2 linked regions of the Alligator mississippiensis genome follow. The protein of the gene in region 2 interacts with the protein of the main gene of each other region in a pairwise test. Links are inferred from orthologs where the notes say so. Each region holds a gene or a part of one and is shown on either strand. Other genes may lie near its edges.

Region 1 (9,247 bases), on a different chromosome or scaffold from region 2:
GCAAAGGATCCCTCAGGCCCCAGGTCCAGATGCAGCAGCTGGATTTGTTCCCTTTGGATTGTTATTGGTAAATAGGTTTTTCCCTGCCCACCTAGCTCCAAGTACCAATATTCAGGCACATTGTTGGGGAGTGTCTGCCCAGGCTGGCCCCTGCCAGAACGTGCAAGGAAATCTCCTACCTTCCTTGGTTTTTATTCACAGGAGGAGCAAAATGAAGGAGCTGGGAGTTGCCCTCAGCCTTCTCCATCTTTCAACAAGCCCTATTTCTGTTTTTTTAAAGAGGACTCAAGGCTTGATCTGTGGTTGAGTCATCTCTTCACCTCCAGTCCAAACTGGGAAATGTAGGTGAAATGTAGGTGAAATGTACCTACTGCTTCTTCTGTACCTTCGTGCTAACTGCTGTCAGGAAGAGAGGATTTATAGTTTAGTAGCCTACAAAGTAATCCCCATCTGGTCTCAATCTGTTGGGGCTTGCTCATGCCCAGAGAAAACCTCACCTAGCAAACAGAAACCAACCAAAAGCCAGTTCCTCATATGATTCAGTGATGTTCTCCTGGGCTTTCCCCACACCCAATTTATTTGCCAGCCTTAGAGGATTGCAAAGATCTGAATGTGGCCTGGGAGATAAGCACAGCTAGGGAGAACAAGATGGCTTGGACAGGCAGGGATGCCTTAGGGGCAGCAGGATCCTAATGCTGCAGCCAGAGGCACTGGCTGGCCAGCCACCATTCAGAAATCATCAGTATTTGTACTACCGCAGCACCTAAAAACCCCAGTCGCAGCCCCAGAACTCACTATGCCGCAAAGGGTGGTTCCAGCCCCAAAGCGCTTATCATGTAGGTATAAGACAAGAATCAACTGGTGAATGCAGAGAGATGGAAGAACACAATGAAACAACGAGATCCAAGTCAGGAATCTGGGTCCCCTCCTTGCCTGCCTTCCCAAAAATTATGAGACTGGCTTAAAAATCAAGCAATCTTTTGTTAAAAAGCAGCACATGTGTGTGTGGGGAGCGGGTGGTTTGTTTCTTGAAGCTTTGATCCTTTAGGGTCCTCTTGTACGAGCATTTCTCTGCACACACAAAGTTTCACATCACTGTTTGCCTCCGAAGAGCTTCAGCTTTTCAAACATAACAAAAACAGCGAGGGAAACAACCTCCCCGTTGCCACCACCAATCTGAGCGGGTGCACTGGACTTTCCAAAGGCGGGGATGCAAAAAAAGGCTTTCTTGTTTAGTTCCCTGTCCTAGTCAGTGCTGGAGTGGGTGGGGAAGCAGGTGAGGCCATTGTCAGAAAGAGGAGGTGGAGGCTGAATATGGATTGAAACTCAGGGTGCTGTTACAGGTCACTTCTGGGACATTTTACTTTTGGGGTTTTTACACGGTGACAAAGTGAGAAGAGTTTCAGAGCAGTCCCAGGTTAAGGCTTTATGCCCTCTCACACCTGCACAGCTGTGACTTGTCACTGGAGAGCCTGGCACGCAGGGGCCTGGCCAGGAGCCGGGGCTCTGGGGTGGGAAAGGAGGGGACAGGGGGGTTGTAGCTGGGAGGCAAAGAAACCAGCGTGCGGGCTCTGGCTTGGGAAGATAAAAGTCTTGGAGAAAAAAAGGCTGTTTGAAGTGAAGTGGGTGGCAGGAGAAGTAAAGAGAACGGAGTGGGGGGAAAAGAGAATACAATGAAGATAAATAAAGGACCAAAATTTTGCATGTGTTTCACTGAATTGGGATTGGGGCAGGGGCGACTTGTGTTAGTGCTTGCACCAAGGCAGAGCTGAGATCCAGCGGGCTCATTACATGCCATCCTGGGGCAGAGTTGAGACCCATCGGGCTCGCTTGCCACACCAGGGCAGCGCTGAGACCCAGCAGGCTCACTGCATGCCACGCCAGGGCAGCGCTGCGACCCAGCACCATGGAGGTAGTAGAATCGATTGCTGCTGCTGTTTGCACGGAGGTGCCAGAGCAAGCAGCAAACGGTTGAAGTGCATTGCCCCTGGGTGCAGAGCAGTCAGGGTCACACCTCTGGGGACGGGAGCGGGTTTCACCTTGCAGCCAGCACCATCCCACAGAGGTGCACCCTGAGATGCTGGAGGCATGAGAGAAGAGCGCTTTATCTCCCCAGAGCATTCGAACAGTACCCGAGGATGACCCGGGTAAAATGGTTCAAAGATAAATGTCACCTCAAAGCGACACAACTGTAAAACATTTAGAGGGGACTTATCACGGGCTAACACTTTTTAATGAGTGATGGCTTGCATGTTATGGTTTTAGGGGAACCTGTAACACCACCCTCAGCTTAGAAAAGACAGGTGAAATCTCGAGTCCCCCTGCAGCCAAGTGAGGTGACATCGGGAGATAAAAAGTAAGGATACAAAAAGCACAGAGCAAAGCTTTCTCCACTGTACTGTGCTCGTAGTACAGACCAAACCTTGTTACTGCACAGCCTGCTGCTTTCCAGACCCCGGCACCCAGCATCTGTACCTCTATAAGGCGTCACTCTGTGGATGTGAGATGTCTCTGCCCATGCAGAGGCACTTGGGTTGTAACTCTGTGGCATACTACAGATGCAGAGATACCCTGAGTTAGCTGTGAACATAACAGAGTCCAAAGAGCACGGGGCAGCCCTCTGCAGAGATCTCCAAGCCAGCTCTGCAAAGGGAAGCGGTGTAGCTACATTAGCTCAGGGGAAGAAGCTCTACTAGGCAGGGAAGGGCACGGCTTGACAAGCGGCTGAGATGTTACGGCTCCATCCTCACTTACCAGAGAAGATCCTCCCGTCACCAGTCAGAAGAGCTGCTCCCACTGGGAAGTGGCTGTAGGGACAATAGGCTGCTTTCTTGGCTTCCTTGCACATGTGCAAGAGGTGTTGGATCTGCTCGGGTCCCACCGAAGAGCTGGCACTGTTTGGCGGAGAGCCCTGGGAACAGTTGCCCGGCACCTGAGCCATGGGCACACTCAGGTGTATCCTTCCCTCTTGGTACCTGCAGCAAGGGAGAGGAGGAAGGGGATGTGAGCCAGAGCGATCGTGCAAGGCAGAGTGAGTCAGGTGTGTGAGTTGATGTCTGAGGGAATGACTCCCATGAATGACTCAGCGTCTGAGGGAGTGAGTCCTGTGTGTGACCTGGTGCATGACACAGTGAGTCCCATGTGCACTTGGTGTCCAAGGGAACGAGTCCCATGTGTGACCTGGTGCTTGAGGGAGTGAGTCCAGTGTGCACCTGGTGTGCAAGGGAGCCCATCCTGTGTGCAACCCAGTGTCTGAAGGAGCTAGTCCAGTGTGCACTTGGTGTGCAAGGAAACCCAGCCCATGTGCGACCTGGTGTCTGAAGCAGCTAGTCCGGTGTGCGCTTGGTGTACAAGGAAGCTCGTGCCATGTGCGACCCAGTGTCTGAAGGAGCTAGTCCGGTGTGCACTCGGTGCGCAAGGAAGCCCGTCCCGTGTGCGACTCAGTGTCTCAGTGAGCGAGTCCAGCGTGCAACTCAGGCAGCAAGTCGGCTGTGTGTGTCGGTGGGGCAGACTTGGGGGCCAGGCTGGCACCAGGGTGCGCTGGCAGCATCCCCACAGGCGAGCGCCGTGCAAGTGTGCCCTGCACTGCCTGGCCCCGCTCCCTGCCCGCCCGGTGCCTGCAGGGGCTGTCGCAGGGCACGGGTTGTGGGACCCCATCCCTCCCGGGCCCGGTACCTGGGCTGTCCGTGCCGTCCGGGGCAGGAGAGGAGCCGTCCGCAGCCGGAGCCCCGCCGCCCCCCCACCCCCGGCTCCGCCCCGGGACCAGCGGCTGCTGCCTCCGCGGGCGGAGCCTGCCCGCCCGGCCGGGGCACCGCTGGAACAGCCGCTTCGACGGCACCCACCGCTGGAACAGCTGGATTTGCGCCTGGCTCGACCACACCCACCGCTGGAACAGCCGGATTTGCGCCTGGCTCGACCACACCCACCGCTGGAACAGCCGGATTTGCGCCTGGCTCGACCACACCCACCGCTGGAACAGCTGGATTTGCGCCTGGCTCGACCGAACCCACCGCTGGAACAGCTGGATTTGCGCCTGGCTCGACCACACCCACCGCTGGAACAGCTGGATTTGCGCCTGGCTCGACCACACCCACCGCTGGAACAGCTGGATTTGCGCCTGGCTCGACGGCACCCACCGCTGGAACAGCTGGATTTGCGCCTGGCTCGACCGAACCCACCGCTGGAACAGCTGGATTTGCGCCTGGCTCGACCACACCCACCGCTGGAACAGCCGGATTTGCGCCTGGCTCGACCACACCCACCGCTGGAACAGCTGGATTTGCGCCTGGCTCGACCACACCCACCGCTGGAACAGCTGGATTTGCGCCTGGCTCGACCACACCCACCGCTGGAACAGCTGGATTTGTGCCTGGCTCGACCACACCCACCGCTGGAACAGCTGGATTTGTGCCTGGCTCGACCACACCCACCGCTGAAACAGCTGGGGATCCTAGAGCGGTGGAGAAGCAGGAGGCTGGAAGGGATCAAAGCCCCAATGCTGTACTTCCCCCTAGAAGCAGCGCCAGTGCACCAGTGCAGGAGTGGCTGCCCCCATTGCACGGCTCAGTTTCCCAGTCATTCAAATACAACGCAGCATTTTAAAGGCCCAGCTGGTCTCCTTGCTGCAGAATTGGGGGTCAGATTTGGGAAGGTCTCTCATCCAGCCCCCTACCCAGACCATCCCATCCAAATCCATTGTCTAGCAGCCTCTTAACAGCCACACAGGCAACCCTGATGCAGCACAGGACATCGAGCAGTGAGACGGAGACAGCAGCAGTGAACAGAGGGCTCCAAGACTTCAGCAGTGAGAGCCCAGAGCATGCCCAGCTCAGGGGGAGATACAGAGGCAGGGCCTCAGCAGCTCCTGCCCTAGCACCTAGAAGATATCAGGCCCTGGGAAACATAGCAACCAGCAAAGCTGGGGCTTAGCTTCCAGTTGGGACCTCTAGGAGCACAGTGATGCAAAGGAATAGCAGTAAAATGGGTTGTAGACTGTGTGGGGGAGAGAAGGTGCCTGCAAAGGCTTTGATATGCAGAGATGTGGCTGACAAGGAAAAGTCCCCTGGGGAGACATGTCTGAAATCATTGCATTGAGATTCTATCCAAGCCCACTGGAGCCAAGCCCGGGGAAGCTGGTCTTTGCGTCCAAAAGTTGCGTCCCTTGGACAACTCCCTCTAGCTGCCACACTGAGCCAGACCTGCCCCGAGCAATGCTGCAGTTAAATATTTCTGTGACCTTAACGGACTCCAGCCACTGAACTGGGTTTCACAACAAGCCTGGCATTGCATATTGTGACTGGGCAACACGACATGTAACAGGTCAGGGCCTGGCCCCAGCTGCTGGAGAGCAAGAGGTTAATCAAAGCTCTGTGTCCCCCTCCCTCAAAGGATGTGAGCGGTGGAGGGGGGACACTCAACCAGCCCCTCTGAGCAAGCACGGTGGAGCTGCATGCACTAGTGCAGGTGGCTATGCAAGGTGTAATAATGCCCAGGGAAAGGGCAATGGATCGGCTGGTTGGCATGTGGGTAGGGTGGCCATCATAGAGGACATTCCAGTTTTCTGCTATTCTGTCCTCTGTCCTCTATTGATATGAAACCTGACGCCTTTATGGCCTCTATTTTTCTCTTCAAGAAAAATAGAGTTGGTTTCGTATCAATAGAGGACAGAGGACAACTGGACTGTCCTCTATGATGGCCACCCTAGATGTGGGGCGGGATCCAGACAGGTCATTACAGGACTGGGAGGAACCTCTCCTTTTCTTCATAGTTTTCAGCTCTAATCCTTGAAGACACCTTGCTGATTGCAAATATATTTCCCTGAATCACCCTGCCAGCTTACACTGTGAAACGGGTCCCTTACCATACCTCTGTACCAGCCCAGTGACTTACCAGCAAACCTGTGTATCTAAAACACCAACATAGAAGTCGCTGCAATGATTGCATTGCTCAATTTCCCATTTACTCAAACACAAAGCAGAGGCAGAGCTGCCGTTCCAGGACAGCACCCAAGACAGCCCACTTGCTGCAGAAATGGGGTTCAGACTGCTACAGCGTGCCTGCAGACTAATGAATAGCACTGGCTAGTGAGGGGCAGTGTTGATCAGTAAATGAGATGCGATCCTGGGTGCCAGGGTCCTCATGCCACCCCTGCCACTGCCTTCCTTGCCTCCCCTTAGTCGAATCATATCTATTCTCTGCTCTGTGCCCTCCCCGTCCCGCTGTTCCTCTCTCTTGCTTGCACAAATAATATATTTCTGACAACAGCAAGAGTCTTGGACAGGGGTGATAAAATATCTTCCAGTAAAGTGTAAAGATTTTTACCAGCATGGTTACAACATCAACATTACCAGAAGCCTCCTCCCTCCCCCTTCACCCGGAAAAAACCTCTTTACTCACATACTGATATTTCTTGAACCAGCATGGCTACAATATCACTCTAATACTGCTTCCAGTGTTTTTTTGATGATTTTTTAAAAAAAAACAACCATATTTTCACTTCAAGCAGTCCTTTTTCCTGAAAAAAACTGGTTCTTCATCAGATATTTAAAACAAAATTCTGCCTGACAAGTGGAAGCATCACTGTTTTGGATGGAAAGTAGGTTTTCCACCAAAAAATTTGATGAGAATAACTCTATTTTTGCAATGTTATTGACATTTTCCACAGAAAAAATGTTATTTGAAGCAGCTAAAATCTGTGGCCAGGCCAAGGGTTTAGGCAGAATCGGTCACTACAGGGCTTTGATATTGACTGGTGCGAGCAGGTATTAGGGTACTGCCACCGATAATAATTCGGAAAAGCAGGAGCTGACCAATGCCAGCTTCTGGGCTAACTTTTCTCTCCTGGCTGGAGCACCTGCAAAATGATGCAATAAAAATAACCATCTAAATACCAGACCCAGAGCAGAACAACTGCATTCTTTGTAATTATCTTTCAGGGAAAATGAGTGCATTTATAATCACAGATTATGTGCCCATTGATTTAATAGGAGGAAAAGGGAATGTTGTGCGATTAAGATTGCATTGTGTGATTAAAATCCAGCTATGTTAAAAGCTGGGTGTGCAGAGTCATGGTGCATAGGAACAGGCAGGCAGGCCCCAGTGGATGGCAAGGGATGTGCACGTGTTTCCAGAGGTGCTCTGCATGGATAAGTGTCACCCAGGGCAGAGACAGGGTGGGAAAAGCAAGCCCCAGTTCTGCAGGCCTCATGTCAACACATTGCTCATTGGATTGGATCCTTCTGGATGGCAGTCTCATCTGAACCATCATTTCATGCTGCCTCTGCCGGTGGCAGAGTGGCTAAGGTGCCTGCTCTGGACTCCTGCCAGAGGCTGCTGTCAGTGGATCTAGCTATATGCAAACATCTGGCCATTTGGCGGGGTGGGGAGGCACAGGATGCCAGCTACATCACTCCCTTGTGTGCTGCTAGCTACAGACATGGGTGTGCATGAACCACACTAGCCCCATGGGCTGTTATGCTTGGGCAGACTTACATTTGCACTGGCTTGTGCTAAGCTGAGGTGTTTGCTCCATCACTGTGCACTCCTTGCAACACTAGAGTCCCCTGTGTGACACCACATCCCTTGCCGTGGAGAGGATGTTGGCACTTGGCCTCTGACTCGAGTAAAGAGGCTTGGGCTTGATGAACACCTGATTCCTGCAATGATTAACTAACATGCTCAGGAGCAGTCTGGGTAGTTGAAGTGACAGAGGAGAGAAGGGGTAAGATTCCCCTCCCTAGGGGGGGAAGGCTCTGGGTCCGGGGTCCAGCACCAGTGCAGCGAGCTCCCTTCAATATATAAGGAAGAGCAGAGCGCAAGGAGCTGTCCAGTTCTGGTGGCTGGTGTCACAGGACGTGGTACCACCAAGTGATGCTCTCCTGGTGATGGGATGCAGCATGAAGACGAGACTGGGCATGGACAGAGGAAGAGCTGCAAACAAACAGGGTGTCCCATGTCCTGCACTGAGCCCCTGATGCTGAAATACTTTGTAGGGAGCTGCTGGCTGGTAAGCAGCCCATAACACATCCCTTGGACCATTCACTGAACCTGCTGTTACCAAACAGCTGGAGAGACATGTCATCAAACGACACAGGTGACTCCAAGCTGCGGCGAGTCCAGCCGGGTGGCTGGATAATTCGGTGACCGCAGATGGCATTCACTTGCATGCAGAATGAGAGATGCCAATCTCGAGTAATCAACTCTCCTGTTTCAAGGCCTCTGCTGACTGCCTGAGAGACAGGTAGGATTTTTTTTTCTCCCCCTTTCCCTCCCCCCAGACTTTAAACTGTGTTGTGCAACTGGCTAAATGCACGGTGGGAAAGTTTCCATTTCACTTCCTTCTGATGCATTCAAGATCAGCTGCTACCAGGAGGTAGAGACCAGATGAAACAGGCCACTGGCTCAACCTGGGAGGCCAAATCCAGCTGGTGCTCTTCTTGCCAATGTGACATTTCTTCACAATCTTTCTGCCCCTGGAGGCATTGGCAGGCTCCTACGGGGAGAGTCACCAAGCGTGTAGCAGGCTCTTGGAAAGCGTGTGTCAGGATGTCTCTAAGTCACACAGAAGCCTCCAGTTCTTCCTCCCGGAGGGACCTGGTGCCTTCCCGCTGCCTGACAAGGACCTGAGCTCTCCTGTGTTGGGCACACAGCACAGCGGGCTAGTTGATATTACCAGGGTCGCCGTATACCTTGCTTCCTGCAACCCTGCCAGGGTTTGTGCGCGAGAAAGAGCACTGCAAGCAGGGAGAGAACTGTGTGCTAATGCAAGGGCAGGCTTCTTTCAAAGGGCATGCACTGTATTGATGGTCCAATTCTGCATGTGCAGACCTCCTCCTGGGAGGTCCTGAGCCTTGCCCAGGCTTCTCTGTACCTCCTAGGATAAAGCCCTCTCTTATTTTCCAGACAGCAAGCTAATTTCCTGCTGAAATTCCAGGCAGGTTTTTATCACTGATGTTCTTCACACAGAATGGCTTCAATGAGCCCTTGATGGGAGCTGCTAATGCTTCTCTGCAGCCTTTCACTCGTGTCAGGAGAGATTACAGGAAAACATTAACACCCTCCACTGCAAAGATGCGCTCCCATCCTGTTCCAGGCTCTCAGCGCCTCAGTGGCCTTTATGCGGCTGCTGCATATCTTTGAAGCAGCTCTTAACCCCCGAGGAAGGATCCTATTACCTGGCATGTCCAGAAAAAAAGGGAAAATGGATTTTTTCCCCGCCAAAGGTAGCTGAGAAATGCGGAGGCTGGAA
Region 2 (9,457 bases):
GTTTTAAATAAGGTTTACTTTATTATGCATTCATCAGTGCTTTACTTTGGTTTTGCAGCCTTGGTGAGCACTTTATACATACATCTATTAATAATAATACCTGTAATAGCAGTGTATCCCTAATCAGCACATATATCCCATCCATCTGTCTACTTTCTTTCAGATTAGGATACTGTTTTATAAAAAGCCTGGGCACATTTTGAAGTGTGGGTGTCAACCACATAAGAAGGATCCAAAGAGGCTTTGAAAGGACCTGGGAAATTTAAACACTTAAAAGAGTAGTTGATGGCAAGAAAATTTTAACATGTATTGAAGGAAACTAAAATGCATTGTGTAAACAGCTGACTGGTTAGGAATCAGTCATCATTGTTTCCAAAGACGTTTTTACAAACATCAGTCCTCTGATATATCTCTTGATACCAAGCACTCAGTAGGCATTTAGAAATCTATTTTTTTTTCTTGAAATTGGAACTGGGGTATTGTAAATCTATTAGATCTAGTTGAAGTTTGCCTCCAGTATCTTTAATTTAGATGGTGTATAAATATTTTTGTTCTGTTAAGTTTCTAAATGATTGGTTAAAGGAATCTTCCCTGAATGATGCACCATAGTGATGACTGTCCCACTACGTTTAGAATGTATGTAGGCAAGATGAAAATGAAACCTATTAAAAATCCTTCAGGTTTCAGCAGAAATGGCCATTTCCATGCTTCACTGGTATGCTGTAAGTCCCCCTCTGTGCCCTATCTACAAAGAAAGCGAGTCTATAATAGTTCTCAGCTGAACAACTTAGCTTCTTAGCTCAAGCTATACAGACTCAGGCTTTTCACTTTTCCTGCCACTTAACTGGGCCCAAAATGTTTCATTCAAAACATTTCAGGTTTGACGAACATGTGCCAAAGCCAAGGCACAGCTCCTGTGGGATCCTGCCTGGATACCATGCAGACTTTTTAACAGCTGGGAACCTGATGTTTTCAAGGTCAATGGTGCCGTGGCACACGCAGCAAAAGGAATGCTCCACACCCAGGAACCCAGACTGTGACCTGATGCTTCCAGGGTTCCCAGGCCTAACACAGACCTGCCAGGAGAACTCTGCCAAGGTCAAAGATACCAGGAGTTCCAGCTCCTAGGCAGTCAGTTCTGCCAGGGCCTCCAGCAAAGCCTGAAATCCCTGGGAGTTCCAATTTTAACCAGAGCACCAGACATGGAGATCCCAGATAGCTGGCCTTCTTGCCAGAGTCACTGAACAGCTGGAAGGTCCAGGGAGCATATTTCATTTGGGAACTTCCCATGACATTTTCTTGGAGTGCCTGATTCATGGAAAATATGAGAACAGGTTTTGTTTCTGTGTGACTTGGACTCAAACCAAATTTAAAAAAAATGTAATTTCCTGCAAGTTAGAGGCCCTGCTTTTTTAGCCCTTTCTACTACACAGGTCCCTATGCCAATGATCAGTGTCTGCCAAGATGGCAACTGTCATATCAGTAGAAGCCCACTAAAGATTAGAGCTGCTGTGAGCCTCAGATAATCAGGATGAGTTTCCCCAGTCTAGGGGAAGAATGTATCCCACTGGTGAGCAGATTACTCCTATTTCTATTGCTATTTTAATAGTTTTAAACACCAGAAAAGATCTTGTCAACTGGTGAGATAACACTTAAGTCTCCTTAAAGGAACAGCTCTCCACAAGCAGCTGAACTGGAAGATGTGCTGCACCTCTTTCTGGACCTATTGCTGTGAATATAAATAAGTTCTGGTCTTTAAATCTGTAGTGGGTTGGGGCAGGGAAAGGTTCCCAAGAAAAGCTGGCAGTGAAGCAGATACAGCATTTTGGATATGACCATTTTCCTCACCTGAAGAAGCAACTTCATCAAATGCCTCAGATCAGAAATTAGACAGAGATTCCTAACAGTTCACATAATAAACTAAACCAGGAAAAGCCTTCCATCACTTGCAGTCTTTAAATGAAGGCTGGGCATCTCTCTAAAAAGGTTATACTGATTTAGCCAAAATCTATGGCTTTGCTGCAAGTATTGCTGAGTACAACTCTCTCATGTCCTATGTGTGTCAGACTACAATGTCCTTCTAGTCCCCCCACACCTTAAATCCTATAACTCTTTATGACTGTTAGAAGAAAGAGATGGCTAACATGACATGGTGTCAGATATTGTCACATTTTCAATCATCCCAAATGAGTGTTCACCAAACAGTAAATTCAGCCTTCTGGAACTTTCAGTTTGATAGGGCTGTGGACCAACTGATGCAAGAGGAAATGGACTTGAAAATATTAATTATTTGTCTTGGCTGAACGAGATGAAAATAATTATAACTCTGTGGGTGCATCTACACAAGACACTACTGTGCAGTGGTTACTGCGCATTTATTTAGTACTCATATAAGCACTTGTATAAGCAAGTACTAAATAAATGTGCAATAACTGGAATTAATGAGCAGTAGCGCTGGCGAACATCTTTTAAGTGATGCTACTGTGCAGCAGCCTAATAATACTGTGCAATAGTGTATTAGTATTGCCAGTGCTGTGACATGCTCTTGTACAGTACTATTCAGCTACTTCACAGTCAGCATCTTGTGCAGACGTGAGGTACTACTGAAAGATCTCTGAGCATTTCATTCCATTCAGCAGTCCAGTACAAGAATATCCATGCCTTCACTGAATGGAGGAGAGATACAGAGGAAGTATGAGAGCTTTTAAGAGCCCTGTTTGAACAAGGACTGTATTATGACTTTGGTCTCATTTAAAAAAACAAAACAACAACAAAGCATGAGATCATTTAAATACCTGGGATTATTAAACAAGTAACTTTCTGAACAGTTACAGCAAGTATTAGAGCTAACAGCAGAACAAGGGCTCTGCAATCTGAGTCACAAGGAAAGGAAACAACAAAAACATAGTGCAGGAAATAGCAAGGGAAAAAAAATCCTTTGCAGGAAAAAGAGAAAGGCATTTAAAAGAACTGAGGTCTCTGGACAAAAAAAAAAAAAAAAAAGCAAGGGGGGAATTCAGGACAGGAGAGGTTTGTCTAGCAAGCAGATTTGGGCATAGGAAACGTACAAAGACACAGGAGCATTTCTGTTGAAGCACTGAATCAGGGAGGTGGTCCAACAAAGGGTGGGTAATATGTTTCGTAGTTTCATAGTTGGTAGGGTTGGAAGGGACCTGAGCAGGTCATCAAGTCCGACCCCCTGCCGTGGCAGGAAAGAGTACTGGGGTCAAACGACCCCAGCAAGGTGTTCGTCTAACCTCCTCTTAAAGACCCCCAGGGTAGAAGCCAGCACCACTTCTCTTGGAAGTTGGTTCCAGATCCTAGCCGCCTTGACAGTGAAGTAGCGCCTCCTGATGTCTAGTCTGAATCTACCCTCTGCCAGCTTGTGACCGTTATTTCTCATCACTCCTGGTAGTGCTCGGGAGAACAGGGACTCCCCAATGCCTGCTGGTCCCCTCTGACTAGTTTGTAAATGGCCACTAGATCCCCCCTCAGCCTTCTCTTGTGAAGGCTGAACAGGTTCAGGTCCCTTAGCCTCTCCTCGTAGGGCCTGCCCTGCTGCCCCAATCATGCGGGTGGCCCTCCTCTGGACCCTCTCAATGTTGTCCACATCCCTCCTGAAGTGCAGCGCCCAGAACTGGATGTACTCCAACTGCGGCCTAACCAGTGTCGCGTAGAGGGGGAGAATCACCTCCTTGGACGTGCTTGTGATGCATCTGTGGATGCATGACAAGGCGCGGTTGGCCTTCCTAACCGCGTCCCCACACTGACGGCCCATGTTCATTTTGGCATCAGTAATGACTCCAAGATCCTTTTCTGCCTCTGCACTGACGAGAAGGGAGTTCCCCAGCCTGTAGGTATGCTGCTGGTTCTTCCCCCCCAGGTGCAGCACCTTGCACTTGCCAGTGTTGAAACCCATGTTTGGACACAGGACCTGGGAAGTGAGTTTAATTTCTGAGCAGACCCAGATTTGTAACTGTGAAATCTGCAATCAAGATCAAAGGTCTTCCAGAGCCTACATACCACAATCATCTGCCTTTGCCTTCTCAGTCTGATTGGCCTGGTGCCCACTTACAGCTTGGTCAACTGAGGCTAGTTTTTTCTGTGAGCTTGGAGCAGGACTCAAACTCCCACCGTTATATCAGCAGAGACACCACCTCACAATCCTGAGAGTTATGCTGCTGTTATCAAATCTAAGGTTGAATTGGGATGCAAATTTGATTTGTAGACACTTCTAATGGGACGAGCCTTCATCCAAAATGGGAGCAGCCCAGGAGCAGGAGTCACGATCACACGACAGCTTAAGAGTCCACTGCCTGGATCCAGTCTATGCCTGTTACACGTCCAGAGGTAAGGAGCACTATATATGTAGGACACCTGCACACATGACTCTGTGGCACGACACCTGCTACTGAGGAAGCCACCACAAATGACTCATTTCATGCCTCGCTAAGCAGCCATCAGTCAGCCAACACCACAACAGAGCCAGTCCGTTTCAAACCCTTCCTCTTACACAAACTGAACCTCAATAATGTAGCATTCATAATTGTATTAATAGATTTGGGACCTGCTGTAAAGTCACTTACACCCTGCCTAAAAATTGTCCCGGTCTCCCCAGGAAAGAGGGCGGCGCCCTTGTCACAAAGCAAACATCCTTCCTCCTGGCATCCGGTGCTCACCGCATGGGAGCCCGCGTGGGAAGCACACCTCTTATAGAGCTGGCGAATGTGTCATTATTGTGACTATAATCCTCACCAAGGGCGTCACTCTCTCACATGTCTAGGCGCACCCCTTCCTTGGGGAGTGGGGCCTTGCTACCAAAACGCACAGAAGCAGCGGGCAGAGCCGGCAGCTCGCGCGCAGCTCCTCGGCGGGCGCCTGCCTGCCAGGGCGGCGCTCGCAGCTCGGCCGCTGCGGGACACCCCGACGGCGCCGGCCTTTCGCCCCCGCGTTCCCCAGCGCCGAGCAGTGACCGCACGCCTGTCCCGAGCAGGAGTCGGGCAACGGTGCGCGGGGCCAGGCGGCGCGAGCGCGGGTCCCCTGAGCCAAGCAAGGCCCCGGCAGTGCTGGGCGGGGGCGGAGCCGGGCCCGGCCCGGGAGCGCAGCGAACTGCAGCTCCCGGCAGGCGGCGGCGTCGGGCAGCTATGGCGTCACGGATGACAGGAGGGCTGACGTCACAGGGGAGGATTTCCCCCCTCCCCCTTGGCCCAGCTACTGGGGCGGCGTCGGCCTTGCTGTAACCCGGGAGGCGCCGCGCAGGTCGGTGGGGCCGGGCCGGGGCAAGGGGGCGCGCGCGGGGCGGGGGCGCTCGGCCGGGCTCGCCCCACGCCCAAGGGGAAGAGGAAGGGGCCGGGGCGGGGTCGGAGTCGGAGTCGGAGTCTTGCGTGGGGCCGGGCCCGGGCCCGCTCCTGGCTCCTGCCCCTAGTGCCCGAGCGCTCCCGTGCCGGTGGCGGCGGCGGCAGCCCGGGGCCGACCCCGCCCCCACCGCGGCTCGGGGACACGGGCACTTCGGGGCCTTCCCGCCTTGCGCCGGGCTCCCGGGCCCAGCTCGTCGCCCGAGGGCCGTGCCGGCTCCTCGCCCCGTCGTCTGCCCTCCCCCGCCCCGCGTCTCCCCGGGCAGTAGCGACCCCGCGTGCTCTTAGGCCAGCCGTGGCCGCTTCGTGGGACTGCGTGCGAGGCGCGGGCAAGGCTGGGAGTGCCAGGCCGCAGGGGCCTGCAGCTCCCTGGCCGCCCCGGGGCCGGGCACTGCGAGGGGCAGGCGGGCGTCGCGCTGACGGCGGGGCCCGCGCAGCGGCCAGAGTCGCTGTCCGGCGGCAGTGGGAAGTGACAGGCTGCTCCTGGAGAAACAAAGTCAGGTTGCAAGACTCAGCGTGAAGGATTAACCGAGAGAGCGGCTGGCTTGTTCTAAGCACAGCCCCTCGGTTGGAAAGAGGAGAAACCGGGATGCCGTTTCTCTGAGCTGTTTGTTTCCAAGCCCCTCTGAGTCATAACCATCAAGAGGTTTTTCAACTGGATGACTCTGGCCCTTTCTGATTTTAGGCACAGACCCAGCCGTTATCTGGGCACAAGGCAGTGTGTACGTCAGCAGAAGGAGAGCTGCCACCGCAGTGGGTAGCCAGCTGCAGGATTGGGACACTTAGGAGGCAAAGCACCCCCGTTGTTTCACTGGTCACAGTTGGAGTTGGCTCCTGACCTTTTACTGTGGGTGGCTGGAAGGAGAAAGAGGATAGGGTAAGGACAGACACTGGGGGTAAGCGTGAAATCCTGCCTCAGCGCAAAGGCAGGTGGTGGAGGGCTGGTTATTATGGAGACTCAGCACTGGCATCCTTCCAAACCCAATCTTCTGGTAAATGGGCATTTCTGGGTGTGGCTTTTCAGCTCAGTCTTGCTTTGGCCAGTCTTTGCTATACTGCAGTTTTATAAGTGTGAGTTAACATTTGGGTGGTTAACAACACTGAAATGTCTGTGCATCTAATTGGGGGACCCAACTGGGTAGCTTGGGGTGTTTGTTTTTACACATGCTCCAGAGGTAAGGGGCGCTTTAATTAGAGCAGCTCCGAGAGCCGCTCTAATGAAAGCTCCTGCAACGTCTTGTGTATCAGTGTCCTTGTGCTTCAGAATTGTGGTGGGGGCACTTTAACTAAAGCTCAGCCAACAAGCTGTAGTTAAAGTACCCCCGCTGCCATTTTGAAGAATGAGGATGCTGGTACGTGAGATGCAGAAGCCACTGGAGCACACTAATTAGCACGCTTCAGCAGACTCAATCCAGTCTGCTCTTACACACTGTAATTACAGCATGTCGGAGCAGCCTCCCCACACATCTACAGGCCCCCTTGGGACTTAGCTTTGTGGCTGGACTGTTGCACACACAAAGAGCCCCACAAGATCCAGCTCTTGATTTATGGCCATTGCAGTTTTAATTATATTAACTCCTTGTCATTTTCTTTGCCCTCCAATAGCTGGAAATAGGGAAGGTTATCATTATTATTATTTTTAATCTGTTTTTGAGTATAGTATAAAGTTAAGGCAAGAGACATTGTAATTCTGGATCACAGTTATGCTTACTGAGAAAAATGTTACTAGTGTGTCAAAAATGTATACTAGTGTGTATACTTAACACACATACTAGTGTGTATAATCAACAGAGGAAGAAGTATACATCCTCTTTAGCCTTGCTTATGGTTAATTCAGGTCCAGTGTTTACAGAACTCCATTATATTCTTGCTTTTAGATTTCCATGACTGAAAAATTTGTTCAGATCAATAATCAGTTTCAAATATTTTTTGATCCTGTGGTATATCAGTTGTGTTTATGTAAAACTGACTTAGTGATTGCCACTTACTTTTGATCTTGTCAAACTCTGTTCTGTAATTGTGGGGAACCTTTTTTTCAAATGTTGTTAGTTAACTGCAAATTCATAGATTTCATAGACATTAGAGCTGGAAGGGACCTCGCAAGATCATTGGGTCCAGCCCCCTGCCCAAGGGCAGGAAGTCAGCTAGGGTCAAAGGATCCCAGCAAGATAGGATCCAAGTGTTTCTTGAAAGAGTCCGGAGCAGGTGCCTGCACCACCTCCGCAGAGAGTCTATTCCAGGCCATGGGGACTCAGACAGTAAAGAAGTTTTTCCCTATGTCCAACCTAAAACAGTCTTTCATGAGTTTGTGACCATTAGACCTTGTCTTCCCTTGGGGTGCCCTGGTGAACAGACGTTCTCCCAGTTGCTGAGGCACACCCCTTATGTACTTATAGGCTGCCACCAAGTCCCTGAGCCTTCGCTTCTCCAGGTTGAGGAGTCCCATGGCTCTCAGCTTCTCTTCATAAGGCCTGCTTTTTTGTCCTCTAATCATGTGTGGGGCTCTCCACTGGACTCTCAAGCTTCTCCACATCCTTTCTGAACTGCAGAGCCCAGAACTGGATGCAGTATTCCACCTGCGACGTCACCAAGGCTGAGTAAAGTGGGAGGATGACTTCCTGGGTTTTGCTTCAGATGTATTGGTAGATGCAAGCCAGAATTTAATTTGCTTTGCCAAGCTGCAGCATCACGTTGGTGACTTATGTTCATCTTGTGGTCAATCATGACCCCCAAGTCTCTTTCAGTCATGGTGCTAGTGAATGTAGCACTGCCAAGCCTGTAAGTGTGATGTGAGTTTTTTCTTCCGAGGTGGAACACCTGGCATTTCTCTGTGTTGAATGCCATCAGGTTTTGACCGGACCAATTTGCGAGCCTGTCAAGGTCAGCCTGGATCACCAGCCTATCCTCTAGGGTGATCGCACTCCCCCATAGTTTGGTGTCGTCAGCGAACTTGGCCAGTCCGCTTCTGACACCAGAGTCCAGATAATTTATAAATATGTTAAAGAGTACAGGCCTGAGAGATGAGCCCTGGGGGATGCCACTGGTCACCATGGGCCATGTTGATTTGGTTCCAATGACTATACCGTATTTCATCTAAAAATGAAGCTTTGGGAGGGCCAGGGATGGACATTTAATTGTTTGGTACCTACATTACTCCCATTTACTTTCTACCTGGGTATCCAAGTAGAGAACAATTATATACATTTTACCCTGGTGCATAACATGAAATCATATAGATTTCATAGACTTCATAGATTTCATAGACATTAGGGCTGGAAGGGACCTCGGAAGATCATCGAGTCCAGCCCCCCGCCCAAAGGGCAGGAAGTCAGCTGGGGTCATAGGATCCCAGCAAGATAAGCATCCAGTTTCATCTTGAAGGTGTTCAATGAAGGCACTTGAACAACCTCCGGTGGCAGGCTGTTCCAGACCTTGGGGGCTCGGACAGTAAAGAAATTCTTCCTTATGTCCAGCCTGAAACGATCTTGTAGTAGTTTGTGACCATTTGACCTCGTCATCCCTTGGGGCGCTCTGGTGAACAAACGTTCCCCCAGATACTGGTGGTCACCCCTGATAAACTTATAGGTGGCCATCAGATCACCCCTGAGCCTGCGCTTTTCCAGGCTAAAGAGCCCCAGGGCTCTCAGCCTGTCATCGTAGGGTCTGCTTCCCTGACCTCTGATCATGCACGTGGCTCTTCTCTGGACTTTCTCAAGCTTCTCCACATCCTTTTTGAATTGTGGAGCCCAAAACTGGACGCGGTACTCCAGCTGCGGCCTCACTAAGGCCGAGTACAAGGGGAGAATGACATCCCGGGATTTGCTTGAGAAGCATCTATGGATGCAAGCCAGTGTTTTGGTCGCTTTACTAGCCGCAGCATCGCACTGCAGGCACATGTTCATCTTGTGGTCAATGATGACCCCCAAGTCTCTTTCTTGCATAGTGCTAGCCAACATAGCACTGCCGAGCCTATAAGGATGCTGCGGGTTTTTCTTCCCAAGGTGGAGAACCTTGCATTTATCGGCGTTGAACACCATCAGATTCTCGTCCGCCCACTTGCTGAGCCTGTCCAGGTCAGCCTGGATCATCCGCCTGTCTTCTGG

The links.
Region 1: the proteins of PLEKHB2 (region 2) and CDA interact in binary tests that used the Homo sapiens proteins (3 or more experiments, as listed by UniProt). The two-hybrid records come from large-scale screens. The link is inferred for Alligator mississippiensis from reciprocal best matches to the Homo sapiens genes PLEKHB2 and CDA.

Annotation. Positions count from the first base shown.
Region 1 is NC_081836.1:5,532,261-5,541,507, reverse strand, and holds the start of CDA (cytidine deaminase), read right to left. Parts: upstream 3,733-9,247; 5' UTR 3,676-3,732; intron 2,976-3,675; 5' UTR 2,942-2,975; coding exon 2,755-2,941; intron 1-2,754. UniProt on the Homo sapiens protein: This enzyme scavenges exogenous and endogenous cytidine and 2'-deoxycytidine for UMP synthesis.
Region 2 is NC_081830.1:41,225,468-41,234,924, reverse strand, and holds the start of PLEKHB2 (pleckstrin homology domain-containing family B member 2), read left to right. Parts: upstream 1-5,160; 5' UTR 5,161-5,259; intron 5,260-6,039; exon of another isoform or gene 6,040-6,231; intron 6,232-9,457. UniProt on the Homo sapiens protein: Involved in retrograde transport of recycling endosomes.